Linked DNA regions of Cricetulus griseus. The protein of the gene in region 1 purifies or fractionates together with the protein of each later gene. This does not show direct contact. Links are inferred from orthologs where the notes say so. Each region holds a gene or a part of one and is shown on either strand. Other genes may lie near its edges.

Evidence for each region. The genes of interacting proteins can lie anywhere in the genome.
Region 2: the proteins of histone H3.3A (region 1) and Ubn1 purify together in Homo sapiens (affinity purification with western blotting, with the first as the bait; 3 studies listed by BioGRID). This does not show direct contact. The link is inferred for Cricetulus griseus from reciprocal best matches to the Homo sapiens genes H3-3A and UBN1.
Region 3: the proteins of histone H3.3A (region 1) and Cabin1 purify together in Homo sapiens (affinity purification with western blotting, with the first as the bait; 3 studies listed by BioGRID). This does not show direct contact. The link is inferred for Cricetulus griseus from reciprocal best matches to the Homo sapiens genes H3-3A and CABIN1.

The regions. Positions count from the first base shown.
Region 1 is NC_048598.1:13,473,952-13,480,258, forward strand, and holds the start of histone H3.3A, read left to right. Parts: upstream 1-1,950; 5' UTR 1,951-2,095; intron 2,096-3,649; 5' UTR 3,650-3,672; coding exon 3,673-3,800; intron 3,801-5,253; coding exon 5,254-5,407; intron 5,408-6,307. UniProt on the Homo sapiens protein: Variant histone H3 which replaces conventional H3 in a wide range of nucleosomes in active genes. Constitutes the predominant form of histone H3 in non-dividing cells and is incorporated into chromatin independently of DNA synthesis.
Region 2 is NC_048600.1:41,615,305-41,621,154, forward strand, and holds part of Ubn1 (ubinuclein-1), read right to left. Parts: intron 3,942-5,850; coding exon 3,692-3,941; intron 3,460-3,691; coding exon 3,370-3,459; intron 1,430-3,369; coding exon 1,380-1,429; 3' UTR 1-1,379. UniProt on the Homo sapiens protein: Acts as a novel regulator of senescence. Involved in the formation of senescence-associated heterochromatin foci (SAHF), which represses expression of proliferation-promoting genes. Binds to proliferation-promoting genes.
Region 3 is NW_023276806.1:262,944,181-262,948,812, forward strand, and holds the end of Cabin1 (calcineurin-binding protein cabin-1), read left to right. Parts: intron 1-621; coding exon 622-786; intron 787-1,643; coding exon 1,644-1,870; intron 1,871-2,037; coding exon 2,038-2,187; 3' UTR 2,188-2,578; downstream 2,579-4,632. UniProt on the Homo sapiens protein: May be required for replication-independent chromatin assembly. May serve as a negative regulator of T-cell receptor (TCR) signaling via inhibition of calcineurin. Inhibition of activated calcineurin is dependent on both PKC and calcium signals.

The sequences.
Region 1 (6,307 bases):
AGTCATGTTCCCAGAAAGAGTCTATGGTCCATCTTCACATAAATAAATACTACTACTTCCGAGTTACAGATGGGACTTTAGAGAACCCACCATCTACATGAAGTAGTTCACCTGACAGTCCTTCAATCCCTTAGAAATATTTGTTTAGCCTGGCAGTAGTGTCGCACGCCTTTAATCCCAGCACTTGGGAGGCAGAGGCAGGCAGATCTCTTCGAGTTCAAGGCCAGCCTGGTCTACAGAGTGAGTTCCAGTACACAAAAATACACAGAGAAACCCTGTCTCGAAAAAAAGAAATATTTACTTAAAGTCGGGAATAAAGCATGGGAAAACCTAGCAAGCATACAAAGAGAGTACTATCTGTAGAGTACTATCTGTGACTCGGTAACATTTCTTGGAGTACTATCTGTAGAGTACTATCTGTGACTCGGTAACATTTCTTGAAGACTGATTGATTCAAGTGATATGTAACAGCCTTCTTGGATAAATCCAGCCGCAAATATTTTAGTTCCCTGAAAACAAAAAACAAGCAAAAGAAAAAAAAAAGTGCTTCTTGGCTCAAATTATAGGGATTTCTTTCTTTACTGGCAGCTCAGTGTAGGCTTTTTCTGCATGTGTTTTTAGGATAGTATCGCAGATTGCACGTGTTTTTATCACATCAACACTTAACACTCTTTAAATAATAACGAAACGGGAGGCCTGGATTCTGTCTGTTTCTCCGGGGCTTGTTCCTCACTTAAGTGACCTTGGGCAAGTATCATTCCTTCTCTCCTATCTGGTTTCTACATATCTGTTCCAGCATCTCCTTCACAACCCTATGGGATCTCTCTTGTACCGAAAGCCCTCACCCAGGGCTGTGAAGCCTGGTCCCTACCGTCTGGGGGTCAGCTAATGACAACCTGAGCTGCGCCGTGCTGCTCAAGCTACCGAGCGGTGCTGGAAAGCGGGAAACACGGCAAGCCCTGCGGCAGCTCTTCCTTAGTACCTGCCGTTTTCAGCCTCTTACAGCGACAGCCTTAAGCTGCTATGTCACAGTCTCCTTCCACAGCGATCTTCCGAGGAGGGTGAGGCCGCTCGCTGAGCGGCCCACTCGGGCTGGACCGGCAGCCGGGCCGTGCGCAGCGACAGCTGTGCTGCACATTGTTCCCGAGGCTCACAACACACAGCCATCTTGCATCAAGAACGGCGGCCCAGGCAGGAGCGGGTGAGCGCGGTGTCGCCGCCGCCGCCGTCGGGGAAGCAGCGCTGGCAGTGGCCGCCCCGCCTCTCCCGGGTAGAGTCCGCGACGGGCTTGTCCTCAGGCGATTTGGCCCGGCCCTCGGACGCGCCCGCGCCCCGCGCCCGCGCTAGGCGGGAAGCGAACCGCGGGGCCCCGCCCCTGCCGCGCGCAACGGGCGCGGCCCGAGAGTGGGCGCGGGCCTCGGGCTTCCACTCGCCGGCTTCCGGCTCGGGCGCCTCGTCCACCGGGCGCGGCGACCGCGGGGCCGCGGCCTTCTCCCCGCCCCACGCGGGCGGGCGCCTCGGGGACGCGCGCGGGGGCGGCGCCCCTCCCCCCGCAGGCCGGGCGCTGGCCCGCGGCCCGCCCTCCCATCCCCCACGGGCCCCCTCGGTACCCCCCCTTATCCCTCACCCCCCCACCCCCGGGAGCCGGGGCTCCGGGGGCTCCCCGTGGCGCTGGCCCCGGGCGGGGAGGGAAGCGAGCGCGGGCCGGGCCGGGGGCGGGCGGCGTCTCGGCGGGCCCCGCGGCCCCTCGGCGTGTCTTTTGTGTTTGTACACACCGCGAGAGGCGGCGGGAGCCGGGGGCGGGCGGCGCGCGGGGTGGGGGGGCGGGGGTGGAGGAGGAGCGAGCGCGCGCGCCAGCGAACGGGCGCGCGGGGGGAGGGGCGGGGGGCGGGCGCGCGGGCCCCGGGGCGGGGCCGAGCCTTCCCTCCATTGTGTGTGATTGGCTGGCGCGGCGCGGGGCGGGGCGGCGTGTGTGGGGGTAGCCTCGGTGTCAGCCATCTTTCAATTGTGTTCGCAGCCGTCGCCGCCGCCGCCGCCGCTCTCTAACGCCAGCGCCGCCTCTCGCTTGCCGAGCTCCAGCCGAAGGAGAAGGGGGGTAAGTTTCTCCGTCCGCCCGCTCTCCCGGAGCCGGGCCCCGTCCGCCGGCGCTGCCGTAGCGGGCCGCGGAGGGCCCCCGCAGCCCCTCGGGCTCGACCCTCAAACTTTTTGGCGCAGACACGGAGACGGGGAGCGAGTTTCCCTCTCCTCGGGCGGCGGCGGCGGCGGCGGCGGCGGCAGCTCTCCGTCTCCGCCTCAGCCCGGCGGCGGCCCCGCCGCGCCGCCTGCCGAGCCTGCTGGCCCTCCCGCGCCGCGGGCTCTCCTTTCTTCGGTGAAATCCCGCCCGCCGCCCCTTCCCGGGACCCCAGACCTTCACCAGGTCCCGCGCGAGCCCCTCAACTGCCGCCTGCGGGTCCCGGGCCGCAGTTTGTCGGGCGCGAAATGGGTAAAATCGCCGTCGCTTCCCGCCCCGGGCGAACTCGCTTTTTGCTGCCTCCCCACAGTTGTGGCTGAGCTTCACCATCTTGTCTCTCTTCTCTGGTCACCGACCATGTTTCTTTTCCCCCCCGTTTCTCTCTTCCCCATTTTAAAATGGAAGGAGGAAAAAAATCTTAAGCACCTTTTTTTTTATTTTTTTGCCTTTTTTGGAGGAAAAAAAAGGAAACTTGATGCATATGAAATTCGAAATAACGAAAAAAAGAACTTTTGCATTTGGGGGAGAGCGGCACGTGGCAGGGGATGGGGTATTTTTCGAAGGGTTTGCTGTTTGTGTCTTTGGAAGGGAGTCGGATACATTTTGCAATTGTTTCCATTTTGTGCTAGCCTTGGGGAGCCGAGTCGTTCGCTGCCGGCACGGGGCGCCCGGGCCGGGCCGGGCAGGGCAGGTCGGGGACCCGGGACCCGGGGACCCGGGGGAGGCAGAAGCAAAAGTTTATGTGGTGCTGGGGTGGGCCGGGCGGCCGGTGTCGAGCGCTAATTAAGACTGGGTGCGGGGCAGTCGGCTGGCATAGCGAAGCCCGGGAGGACGGGCTTTGTGGAATGCTCGCTGGCAATAGCTGTTGTTCTTGTCTTTCGAGACGCCTTTTTGTCAACATAACCGTAAAGATAGAAACCTCAAGAATGTTTACAGATATTTACAGCAATCCAACTGCCGAGCGCGAGGCGGGGGGCGCGAACGGGGGGGGGACGCTGGAACCTTTTTTCTTTTTTTCTTTCTTTTTTTTTTTTTTGGCTGTAATTTGACTCGACCTTTCTGTGGTTTGTGGCTTCTTTCGTTTGACTTGTTTGTGATCGAATGCTTGCAGGCATTTCTAATTTCTACTTTAATTAAAGAAATTGAATTAAAACCCATTGGGGTGGTCTCGCTGGTTTTGGCCGTTTGTCGCTTGGAATTGGCGTTATGAGTATTAATGCTGACAATTTTCCGGTTTGTTTTAAGTCGTATTTGGGTAGTAGACCTAACCTGCGCCCTTTCAAATTAATTATATAACAGCCTTTTTTTTTTCTCAGTAATGATAGGTTTCTGGGATTTTTTTTTTTTTTAGGGGGTGGCTTCTGGCAAGAAAATGTATGTTTTAGTTGAATATGATTTTTTTTTTTTTAATACTGGTAGGTAAGTAAGGAGGTGCTCTTACCATGGCTCGTACAAAGCAGACTGCCCGCAAATCCACCGGTGGTAAAGCACCCAGGAAACAACTGGCTACAAAAGCCGCTCGCAAGAGTGCGCCCTCTACTGGAGGGGTGAAAAAACCTCATCGTTACAGGTATTTATAAAAGGGGGAGGAATAGGACAGTGTCTAAACAGTATGTCCATGTAATTTAACAGGAAGGTGAGGGAAAGATGTTTTCCTTCTGAATGTTTACTGCTGCTTGAAAATACACGTGCATATGTTCATTTATGAATACATGTAACTTAGTGTCAGGCTTTATTGATAACATTTTGAAGTTGTAATCTGATCTAAATTCTAAAGGGACGCGGTTCTCAACTGGTAGTAGGACACATTAACATTTTAACCATTAGCATTTTAAGTATGAAATGGTTTCATATGTGTATACAGGCACATAAAAATGGTTGTGTTTTTACACATACTTTTTGTTTTGGTTGACCCACACTTGTGGTAAAGTGTAGTACCTTAGGGAGACTAGTAAAGAAAGTCTCTTGGTCATAATTACTTGGGTTTTTCCCTCCTTTACTCCCTCATTTTATTTTTATGTAAGCACTGTTGTTAAGGACATCTGCCATTAGAGGGCATAAGTTGCCCAAATTTGCATAGACAGATTGTACAGTGAACAGCTCATAGAGTTGAAATAAGTCAAATTTAGGGGTTAAAGGATTTGTTTTCTCTCTTATCTTTCCCACTCTCTTCCCCCAATAAAGCTTCCCAAGTTAAAAAAAAAAAGTATTATAGACAATGACTTAATTTTAGAAAATTTTTCATGTGGGAGAAACAATGTGAAATCAAGTTTTCAAATTCAGTCATTCATGACTGGTGATACAATACTGGGAGATCAAATACGAGTGTTTTAAGTGAATCGTTGTAAATTATGTTGGTAACTCTTTTAGGACTTTAAAACCTAAGGCACAGATGGGGCAACAGAAAGTGTTGCTTAAACTGGGAAGATGTCTTTATTGCCAGCCTAACTTCGAATATGCTCCCAAGTCTTGTTTGTTTGTTTGTTTTTAAGGCGGGGCTCACTCTAACCTATCCTTGCCTGGAATTCATTATGTAGATCAGGCTGGTATCAAGCCTCCTGCCTCTGCCTCCTGAGTCCTGGTGCAAGTATTCAATACCACACTCAGGTGTGGTTCTCAGGTCAAGATTCGGGGGTGGGTGAACAGATAAAATGAATATGGTGCTTTCATAAACTGCCACTTTGTGTTTGTTTTGTTTTGTTTTTTGTGATCTCGAAGGGCGGTGGTGGCGCACGCCTTTAATCCCAGCACTTGGGAGGCAGAGGCAGGTGGATCTCTGAGTTCGAGACCAGCCTGGTCGACAAGAGCTAGTTCCAGGACAGTCTCCAAAGCTACACAGGGAAACCCTGTCTTGAAAAACCAAAAAAAAAAAGTGATCTCAACAGATTTGAATATTCAGGTCATAAAACTGATCTGTGAAATGGGGCGCTCAAGAATGGTTTAGAGTTCATGTATTTCTTTAAAACTGACTACTGTTGTGTTGTGTGTGTTTAGTAACAACTTTTTAATGTTAACTTTTGAAGGCCTGGTACTGTGGCACTCCGTGAAATCAGACGCTATCAGAAATCCACTGAACTTCTGATTCGCAAGCTCCCCTTCCAGCGTCTGGTTCGAGAAATTGCTCAGGACTTCAAAACAGATCTGCGCTTCCAGAGTGCAGCTATTGGTGCTTTGCAGGTAAATAGATGGGTGGGAAGACCCTGTTTTTGTTGATGATTTGCACGTCTTTCTTGTTTTAAGTCTGTGAGGTAGTGATTCGCTCTTGATGAAATTTAAAGGTAAGCCGAGTAGTGGTGGTCTTTAATTACAGCCCTTGGGAGGCAGAGCCAGAGTTCCAGGACAGCCAGGATTACACATAGAAAGCCCGTTTTGAGAAACCTAAAAATGATTCAAGGTTATGCACATAAAAATTAAAATCCTAATTTGATTCTAAAGCCTAATACAGTTGTTATGCTTTGTTTGTTTACTTGTTTATTTAGGTTTTTTGGAGCAGGATTTCTCTGTGTAACAGTCCCAGCTGTCCTGGAACTCACTTTGTAGAGTAGGCTGGCCTCGAACTTACTGAGATCTGCTTGCTTCTTCCTCCCAAGTGCTAGGATTAAAGGCATGCACCACCACTGCCTGACATAATTATTTTTCTAACATTGCATTAAAAACAGGCTGGGCATTGGTGGCGCACGCCTTTAATCCCAACACTCAGGAGGCAGAGGCAGGCGGATCTCTGTGAGTTGGAGGCCAGCCTGGTCTCCAGAGTGAGTGCCAGGATAGGCTCCAAAGCTACACAGAGAAACCCTGTCTTGAAACCACCACCACCACCACCACCCCCAAAAACAAAACAAAAAAAAACAGTGCTTAACTCTGGGTTGTTTTGTGGGTGCTACAGGTCATTAGGATATAGAACTAGAATTCTATTTGTAGCCACTTTCTATTAGTAGTGATGAAGAAATGTCTTTCTGGATGTAAAGAAGCAAATTAGGATATAGTTTAATGTCTAAATAGAATAGGCAATATTCAAGAGTTACATGTTATAAGTGGGTGTGTAAAGGAAAATGGACTTGAACACTTGTGGTTTGAAAG
Region 2 (5,850 bases), on another chromosome or scaffold:
CAGAGGGCTGATCATCTTCCCAAATGTTGTCTGGCTAGGCAGTCAGCCAGACCCACTGTGTGGTAGATTTACAGGATAGGCAAGGGCCCTCAAGTCCATATGAAATAGCCACTGGGTCAATGTGGTAGCCTAGTGATGGAAGCTCTGTAGTCCTCTGTCCACTCTCCAGACCCTCTGCATATCCCCCTAAGTCCACACAGACGCTGGCTGTCCAGACAGCACCAGTACCCCAGACCTGTTCTCTGTAGCAGATGCTTCAGAGAGGCCTGTCTTTTGGCTCTGCCAGAGAGATTTCTAATAAGACAGAGTGGAATGTCTACCTGTGGCTTGGAACTCCTGGACTCTCAGACAGAGGACTGAGGAGCTCCCCTGCAGCCCACCTGCATCAACTCTAAAAAAAAAAAAAAAAAAGAAAAAGAAAAAAAAAAAAAAAAAACAGATCTGTAGCTCCATGGGAACCTGGGATTTGGGGGCTCAGATGACTTTTAAGTCAGGACGGCACAGATTATGATGTGCAGTCATAAAAACCCAATTAAATAAAACTGTCTTAAATACAGACTAGCTTTAAAAAAAGGTCTTCATCTCAGATCCACTCAGGGGGCTGAATGGATAGATTCGAGTTGTCAAAGTCTGCTCCACCAAAAAGGCACTGGAATTAAGTCTTCCTATAATGTGATGTGTGAAGAGCAGTCCCATTCTATCCAATGCATTCAATGGAAATGACGAAAACAGCCCAAGATAGGTGTCTTTAAAAATCCTACCACGATTGATGAATCTATAAAGATCTTTTTCTCTATAAGAGCTTCATTGTCATGTTCTGAGGAGAAACTGGCCCCTATAAGAGCACATATTAGGTGTTCTTAGTATTTTTCAAGGTCTCCCACCTGTGGCTCTGACCTGGGTCTTGTCCTCTTGAGCACACAGTCTGAGGATGGGATGCAATCACAACCATCCAGGGACTCTACTGTGGCCAGGAGGAGTTCTGACCAGTAGGGAGCTCTGAGATACTCACACCAAATGCCAGGAGTTGGGCAGACCTAGAACCCAGTAGGCAACAGATCTGCCACAGGAGTTCATGCACACTGTGCTTCCCAACACAGTCTAGGCACACTTCCCAGCCCAGAGCTGCCCCTTGATGTCGTCCAGCGACAAAGCCATAAGGCCCAGAGCACCAGGTCAGTAAGTGCTTCGTAAGCAGCAGAAGCTGCCACTTGGTTGAAGGCCCATCAGAAGTGCTAAGAAGTGCTCCATTTCAAACTCATTGCTGCTCCAGAAGAAAAGCAGTGGACAGGAAGAGCACAGCAAATGTCTGTTATCAGAGACCTACATGGTAGACTTCCTCCCAGACCTACTTCATTTGATTCCATCCTCCAAAGTGGTCACAATTTCCTTGGTACAACAGGCCCTTTCCCATGAAGCTGTGAAGTATCTGGAAAAGAATAAGCAAAAACAGAACATTCTTTAAGCACTCAAACTCCTCTAGACAGCATAAACAAACTTCACAGGAATGTTAAGTAGCAAATGTCCCCAAACTAGCACTGTGCAGGCAGGGGGCTGAGGAGCAATGTCTACAGAACAGAAATTCTGCAACATGACAAGGGCCACTGCAAGGCCTGATGACCACACAGAATCCAGACAATGTTCATTCTCTTAACATCAAAATGCACTCAGATACCAGAGGGACAAAGGCAAAAGCAACAGCATCAAGTCCATGTGGGAGAAAAGAAGGAAGAGCAGAAACAAGTCTCAGCTCCCTGCTAACCCATTTTGCATGGCTGCTCTTCTGATTGCCTACGATGTTTTTCCTTTTCCTCTCTGTGGTACTGGTAATAGACCTGGGGCTTTATATATGATAGGAAAATGCTTGACCACTGAACTACACCCCCAACCCTTCAGATAGCTTTGGAAGACCACGGGGAAAAACAGGAAAATAGTACAAAAAGTGTTTGATTCCCCTGCCCCCCCTCTATCCAGTCTCCCTCCTGCCTCTGTTGACTGAAAACTCCACAGACCCAGAGTCTGTTTCTACTCTTCAATTACTTTGTTTCTCTCAAAGAGAGCCATTTCCAAAGCAAGTGGAAGGTGGCACCATCTCACTTTCACACCACACAGGCTCTCAGTAGCTGAGGAGTCACCCACATTGCACTTAATTTAAGTGGCAGCCACCAGTGCAGAGAAAGTCCTCAGATGTGACTGCTTCTTCAGAGGAAAGGAGTGACAACTGACACTGGCTTTGCTCCTCAAAGAAACCTACAAACTCACCCTCATCCTAACAAGGTCTTTGATATTCACTACAGAGTTCTCAGCTTTTAAGACATGGCTTCAAGGAACACACAAGCAGATCACAAAGCACACAAGGAGCTGTGAGCCCAGACTGTCCATGAGCAGTCAAAGGCACACATAGCCCTCGAGTCTGCATCTGACTCCTGCCCTATACAAATCCCCATAATCCCTAAGCTCAGCCCTCCTCTCCCTAGTATAGGCCTGGGTTCTGTTTAGAACAGGTCTAAAGTGCTAAGAACACTAGGTCAAAATCAGTTTCTCATCAGGCCCCTAAGCCAAAATCCCAAGAGGTGCCTATATGCAAGAATCCAGGAATCAGGACAGAGTGAGACCAGTCCACTTACTACAAGATGGCTGCCTGTGGCAAATATTCCCCATTCTCATGCTCTCAAGCTGGCAATACATGTACCTAGGGCTTTTAGAGCTGCCTACTTCCAGAAGCACCATTCTGTCAGGAGACACTGGCTTCATTCCTGGTGTACTTCCAAATCTGTTTTAAAGGAAGGTTTTACACCAAGGTGGATTGCTTCATTCCTGGTGTGCTTCCAAATCTGTTTTAAAGGAAGGTTTACACCAGGGTAGATTGAAAACTGCTTCTCTTTTGGGTCCATACTAACTCTCTCATAGTCATGTATTATGTTCTCTTCCTGTTCTGTGGATATTTATTCCTTTCAAAGAGTATCTGCCACTTGACAATGCCTGGCAGGTGTGTAGTATTTCACCATGAAGGCCCTGAAGTACTTGGTTAACCTTTGGACAAGAGCCACCATTACCTTTCTTCTCTTTAAATGCACATTAAGAGTTGGAGCTCCTCTGTTTCATGTTCAGGCTCAACATATACTGTTATTATACAGGCTAAGTCAGACCTTATGGCCATTCAAAAAGGAAACCAGGAAAAGCCTCTGGTAGTACAGGGTTATATTATTCTGGAACCCAAAGCCAAAGAGCCAGAGCCTCAAAAGACAAAGCAAAATACAAAACAGTGAGGGTGAAGCAGAGATGACTAAAAGCGCTGGCAGCAAAGCACCTAAGGGTGAAGGGGTATGGCCCACAGGGCTCATGGCACACTGCCCACCTGGCATTTACCTGGCAGACTCTGTGGGACATGGGTGGACACAGCAGTATGTGGGAGAGGCGCTGTGTGGGGTGGGCTGGAGTGCAAGCCAGCCAGAAGACCTGAGAGAAAACAGGAGGGGAGAGAACAAAACACACACATTGAAGACAGAACAGAAAAGCAGCTTGGGAGATTCAGAGCCCCAGGCAACCTGTAGGCCAATCTGGAACAAACCAACAACACTGGGCACTAAGCAGCTTCCCAGGACAGGGGTGCTCCCACAGTTACACCAAACACATAGAGGATCCAACATGGCACACAACATAGAAACAGAGGCAGGAAACAAGAACTTACTGTGGCTGAGGCCATGATGGAAGGTCCCAGGGGCTGGGCCTGTAACAATGGCATCCTTAGAGACCCCTGCTTTGGCAGAGGAGTCTGAACTGAAGGAGAGCACGTGAAGTGGAAATGGGACAGAGGTTATGATTCCCAGTGAGTTTGAGTTCATAGCCCCCTGAAGCTTGGGGTTGCTGGGCTTGTAGGATGAAGACAGCAGGCTTAAGGAAGAAGTGTTGGACAGCAGCATTGCCCCTCCGGTTCCTTTCTGGAGAGAAAACACACACACACAATAAGAACCTCACTACTCAGCACTCAAAAGAATAATGGGGAAGTCTCTATGAGCCAGCATCTAGGGGCTTCTAGGGCACAGAGATAATTCCTAAAATAGCAAATATGTTTCTTTTATGAAGCAGAGAAGTAATATATTATGTATGAGCCCTGCAGTGGTAGCATACGCCTTTATTCCCAGCACTCAGGAGAGGCAGAGGCAGGGGGATATCCATGAGTTGAGGCTAGCCTGGTCTACAGAGTAAGTCCCAGGACAGTCAAGGATACACAGAGAAACCCTGTTTCAAAAAAAAAAAAAATCAAAAACAAAAAATATGTATGGTTACTATATATGTGTATATATATAGCATGTGTATATCCATAATGCACATACAAACTAATAGATATATAAACAGATTTATATACACTAATTTAAATTTATTATATAAATTTATGTAACACAAAAATGGGCAGGGATAGCTCAGTGAAGACCTTTGTGGTTTTATTTGTTGGTTTATTTGTCTGTTTTCTGGTTTCTTTGTGTAGCCCTGGCTGTCTTGGAACTTGCTCTGTAGACCAGGCTGTCCTAGAACTCAGAGATCTATCTACCTGCCTCTGCCTCCCAAGTGCTGGGATTAAAGGCATGCATGCACTACCATTGCCCAGCTGTTGGAGTTGTTAAAAATTAGCTATTCTTCCCTAGGGCCCCGGTTTGATTCCCATTGCCTATTATGATGGCTCACAATGGTCTTAACTACAGCTCCAAGAGATCCAACACCCTCTTCTGACCTCTGTGGGCACCCAGCATGCACATGGTAGACATGCAGACAAAACACTCACACACACACACACACACACACACACACACACAAAAAAAAAAAAAAAAAAAAAAAACAAGCAAAACACCCTCCCCAGAAGTTATCTTCATGACAAATTTAAAATCTAGAGGAGCCCTGAATCCCATCCAAAGCCTTCATAAACATGGACAAATGGCAAGTTTCTCATTTAAAAAGATCCAACTGAAAATGGTTCCCTATATATTTATGTTCATGTGAAAGTGAACACTTCCAACCAATCATTGGCTTCTTAAGTTAACTGAAAGCGTCACTGTAGCACTATGGAGAAATGTGGCTGGTGAAATCTAACTGCACCAGATCATACTAAAACTTTCAATGAGACTAGCTAGTATGTATTCATGAACCCTGACACCACAGAAAGTTAAAACATAAATGAACTAAAAGAAGTCCTTTTCAGCTGGGCATGGCGGCACACACCTTCAATCCTAATACGAAGGAGGCAAAGGCGAGAGACTGAGAGATTGAGAGAGAGAGAGAAAGATATATATATATATATATATATATATATAGAGAGAGAGAGAGAGAGAGAGAGAGAGAGAGAGAGAGTGAGAGTGTTCATTAGGCTGATTGCAGCTTATCCACTATATGCCCTTGTCTCACTTTGACAGGTTACAGACACCTCAGAAAGATCAAAAAACATAAGTTTTTATAGATATCTTCAGCATGGCTGCAAACCAAGGAAGGGCTCACAGGAAACAGAAAATCCTTGTTCTATTTTTGAGACAGGGTCTCATAATAGGCCCACACTGGTCTATTATACAGCTGAGGATAACCTTGAACTTCTGATTCTACTGACTCTACCTCCCAGTGCTAGGGTTACAAGTATTCATCACCATGCCCAGTTTGTGTGGTGCTGGGGATCAAATCCAGGGCTTCGTACACACTAGTCAAGCAATCCACCAACTGAGCTAAAGCACCAGCCTAAGGCAGCATTAAGTCAGTGGTTTCCCTTTTTCCTAGCAGTAGTAGGGATTGAATATAGGTCCTTGAGAATGCTAGACAAGTACTCTTATCACTGAGCTAGAGCCTCAGCCCTGAGACCTGAGTTTA
Region 3 (4,632 bases), on another chromosome or scaffold:
GATGTGGTGCCCTTGTGTTCTCTGTCTACTTTGGTCTTAGTTAATGGCTTGGATGGTTTTGACTCCGGTTGTGATTGCCATTCCTATGAGCCAGGAAGAGGGATAGGCACCTCACACATAAGCCTGCCCCTGACAGCCATGAGGTGAGGCTTTACCCAGGCCAAGAGCTGAGTTCCTGTGAGCAGCTGAGACAGGGCACAGATGTAGTCTCACTAGCCACTCAGTTATGCGGGCCCCTCAAGACCTCTTAGCCAGGGTTCCCAAAGACCCTCACTCAGGATGGAAGGACAAGGCGCCAGCCCAAAAAGACTAGGCAGGGCTCTGCTTATGTCAGGAACAGCTGCCCAGCTTGGCCTCTCTCCCTCCCCTTGAGGTGTGATAGATATCTTGAAATTATCTGTCTGTGCCTTCGTGCAGCTGTCCCAGAAGAATGCTTGCTGCTTCCTGGTTCCTGTGGGGATGGGGAGACACCTAATCCCAAAGTACCCATGTTGGCCATGTGTTCTAGGGCATAGTCTGGGCCTACAAGGCCTGTCTCACTAGTGTGGGGATCTGGGAAGGGGACCTGCCCTCACCCCATGAAATGGGGGTGTAACCTGCAGTTGGCCTGTGTCTCCATAGAGGGTGAAGAGCAATCAGGAGCGACAGAAGGTACCAGCTTCCCACCCCAAGAACCACGGCACAGTCACCAGATGAAAATGGCTGCCACAGGGCCCCTGGCTGAGCAGCACTGCTGGTCAGTGGAGGCTGCTGGCCAGACTGGTGCCGAGCCCACCTGTAGCCAAGGTAAGGCCAGTTGAGAGCAGCCCAGCACCAGCTCCCACCAGGCTGCTCTCAGATGACAGCCGAAGGTGGGCTTCCCCACAGAGGAGCCGGCTTGGTAGATTGAAGGATAGAACCTAGCAAGGGACTATTATTGTGACCCTAAAGCCTCCTTTCACCTCAGCTCCACAGAAGGGTCCTACCGGTAGGGTTTGGAGTTCTGTATGGGGAGGAGCTTGGGCCTGTCACTGAGGTTTCTCTGTGGGAATCCACCAGCCACTCTACTGGTCGGGCCCCTTGAGACCACTTGGCCAGGTCTCCCATATACCACTCAGGATGGAAGGACATGGCGCCAGCCCATGAACACCGGGCAGGGCTCTGGATAAGCTCCCACTCCTTTTAAAGAGATGAGGCTAAAAGAATGTGGAGCCTTGCCAGGGCAACTGGGTTATTCCCAGTTCACGCAGCTCCCTTGAGGCTGCCAGGTCCCAGATCTGCAGTCTGCCATGGCCTTGGCTGCCTCCAGGAGGCTCAGCTCCTTACTCATCCTGCAGTGAGAGGAAAAGTATATACTGGGCCCCCTGGAGTGGAATAGCTCAGAAGATACAACGGTTGTGTCATCTTGGTGATGAGGGACCCTTCCGAATCCCTGGGAAATCTCAGAGGGACTGCTGGAGTCCACTGATGCTCCTCAAAGCCCAGGGTGCTCCTCGTTGCAAGGCTAGCATGCTAAGGTCTGCAACCCGAGGTGAGCCCAGGACCCTTACGTCAATGTAGGCAGAAGGCCAGAAAAGGATCCATGGTGTGGGCCCACTGAGTTCTTAGCAAAGAGACAGGCAGACTGAGGCTGAGTGAACTCAAACTCTGTGGTCTCCTAACAGCCACCAGCACTAAGGTCCCCAGCATCGGAAGTACCCAGACACCCGAGAGCCATCAAGGCAAGGCTGAGTCCAGCAGGACCAAATCCCGCCTCCTGTCCAACATGCCAAAGCTGGTGATCCCCTCGGCCACCACCAAGTTCCCCCCTGAGATCACCGTCACACCACCTACCCCGACCCTGCTTTCCCCCAAAGGCAGCATCTCCGAGGAGACCAAGCAGAAGCTGAAGGTGACTGTGGGTACTAGGCAGGAGGCCTGGTGTAGGGGCTCATGGTACTGGCGGTCTGGGAAGGGACTTGAGTTACAGGGAGGCCTGGCTGAGAATTTGGTTCATGTCAAGAGGGTTAGGGTAAGGCCAGTCACTCCTGACCATGTTCTGCCCTACCCTGTGTGCAGTCAGCCATCCTGTCCGCCCAGTCAGCTGCCAATGTGAGGAAGGAGAGCCTGTGCCAGCCAGCCCTGGAGGTTCTGGAGACATCCAGCCAGGAGTCTTCACTGGAGAGTGAGACAGACGAGGATGACGACTACATGATGATGGACATGTGAGGGCCCCACCCAGAGCCCTAACAGTCAGGCCTGGGATCCCTGTGGGCCAGACCCTGGGACGGCCAGAAGCCCATGTGAAGGTACCATTTCCCATGGCTTCCTAAGCCTGCCCAGCCCCCTCTTTACAGCATCCTGCTCTGGTTGAGCTGTCCACACCCAGTGTGTTAGCCCAGAGGAAGATGAGACATGTCTTAGGCACATGAGGATGAACTGGTTGTGGTCTGCACAGAAGGGCCGGCACTTTTGTTTTGTTTTGTGAATATTGACTTTCTTTACAAGCCCGTGCCCCCCTGGCCAGGCCCACAGTTCATTGCCAAGACATCGAGAGCCTAGCTCACACCATATACCCTTTTTGTCATTGTTCTTTTCTAATAAAGCTGAGAAAATGGTCTTTGCTTCTCTGCTTACTCTGGGGGGGGGGGTGTGCTCACATGGTACAGGGATTAATTACACGGTGTGTGGGGGGGAGGCAAATTACTGTTCAAAAGCCCCTGGATGACTGGGGAGCTCCTGTAGTGTAAGGACACAAAGAAAGAAGACCCTGTGTGATGCCAAGGAGTTAACAGAAGGGCACAGTGGGGGTGAAAGCAGCTCAGGAGCAGGGGGTGTCCCTCCTCATAGTTCCTCCCTGACAGTATCAGCTACACCAGTGTGGAGCCCGGACAGAATGCATGGGGGCTGCAGAATTGCCTTAGTTGTCAAGAGCACCAACTGCTCTGCCAGGATCAGTGCCCAGCACACACATGGCAGTCCACATCCAGCCCTAACTCCAGTTCTAGGAAATGCAGTGCTCCCTTCTGGCTTCACCAGGCACTGCACCCGTGTGCACACAGACATACATGCAGCAAATCAAAAGCGCGAGGTCTGGGGAGAGAGACGAGACCCTGCTGCGTAACCAGACAGGCAGCCATGCCACAGCCTCCTGAGCAACTACACAGCACTTGGCTGAAACTTTTTTTTTTTTTTTTTTTTTTTTTTTTTGTGGCTTTGGAGATGTCCTGGAACTACCTCTTGTAGACCAGGCTGGTCTTGAACTCACAGAGATCCACCTACCTCTGCCTCCCGAGTGCTGGGATTAAAGGCGTGCGCCACCAACGCCCAGCTAAAAGTTAACTTTTAAGACCACAACACGACAGATCATGATACTGGCCCTTTCCCTTTCCTGTGCTCCATGCCATTTATTTTGGAGATACTTAGGTTCCAGGGGCTCATACCTGCCTGTTACAACTGTCACCGACACCACTTCAGAGTCCTCTTTGTCTCTCCTCAAAAAGCTCTAGGCCAGAATGGAGATGAAGGGTACTTTTGTGCCTTCATGGGCTGAGCACATACCCTCAACTGAGAAGGAAGAAACTGTAGACTAGACCCTAGATTCCCTAATCCAGGCCCTTTGCAGCTAGAAACATGGCAACCCAAGATAAGTCCTCAGACCAGCCACCTGAAGAGCCAAGAAACCAGGGACTGCAGTCACTCATCGGAGCACCTCCACCTACCCAGACCCCCACCAGCCATGGTAGGGAGAACCCTCAGACCCAGGCCTGGGTGCTGGCACAGGCTATTCCCTGCCATGGGACCTGTGTGCACACAAAGGTATCCACCCAGAGCACCCTGTGGCTTGGGAGATTTTCTTCCCCCTCTGCAAGGTGTGTGTGACGGCCTTGGAAGACTTGTCACCACACATGCCTTGTGGTGTAGTGGGAACACTCCTAAGCACAAGTTTCTTCAGATACTCAAGGGAGATCCACAGGTGACCTCCAGAGGTACTAGTTACTAAGAAAGGACAAGGCCCATAGAACAATGGGCTGGCTGACACCCAGGACCAGAGGAGGATCACAGACCAGATGACTTCAGCTCATAAGCCAGCCTGCCTAGCTCCTCCTGTGAGGCCAGCCACACTGTGTCTGCATTGAGAAACCTCAGCTTCCCTGTCCTAATGGCTAGCCCAGGTGACAGACCCAGGCTTGGGGGCCTGCATGGGCCACCCTGGCGTCAATGACTCCCAGAAGCCGCTAGAGGCTCTCCATCATGCTCCTTCCTCCTCTGCAGAAGCTTAGAGAAGCCAGAACAGGGTATGTTGCCAATAATGACAACACTGGGGCTAGGCTGGCCTCAGCTCTGGGTGGTAACTGAAGCCTGCTGCGAATCAGAAGTGGCCCAGTCTCAAGTCCATGCTGTGCACTGCACGACAGGCAGATTAACTCCTTGCTCCACCTCTGCCTGTCAGACACCTCCCTAAGGAAAACAGAGGTCTAGGTCTGTCCTGAGAGGACCAGGACTGCGACACCCGCCCTGCAGAAGCCTTGCACACAAGACTGGACTGTGTGACCCAGGGTCTGAGCTGCCTGGAGACATCTGGCTTCTCATGTGCCAAAGGTCTTCATTTCTGGGCACTCCAGCCCCTCATTCTCACACAGGGTCCCAAGGCTGTGATGATGGGACAAGAAT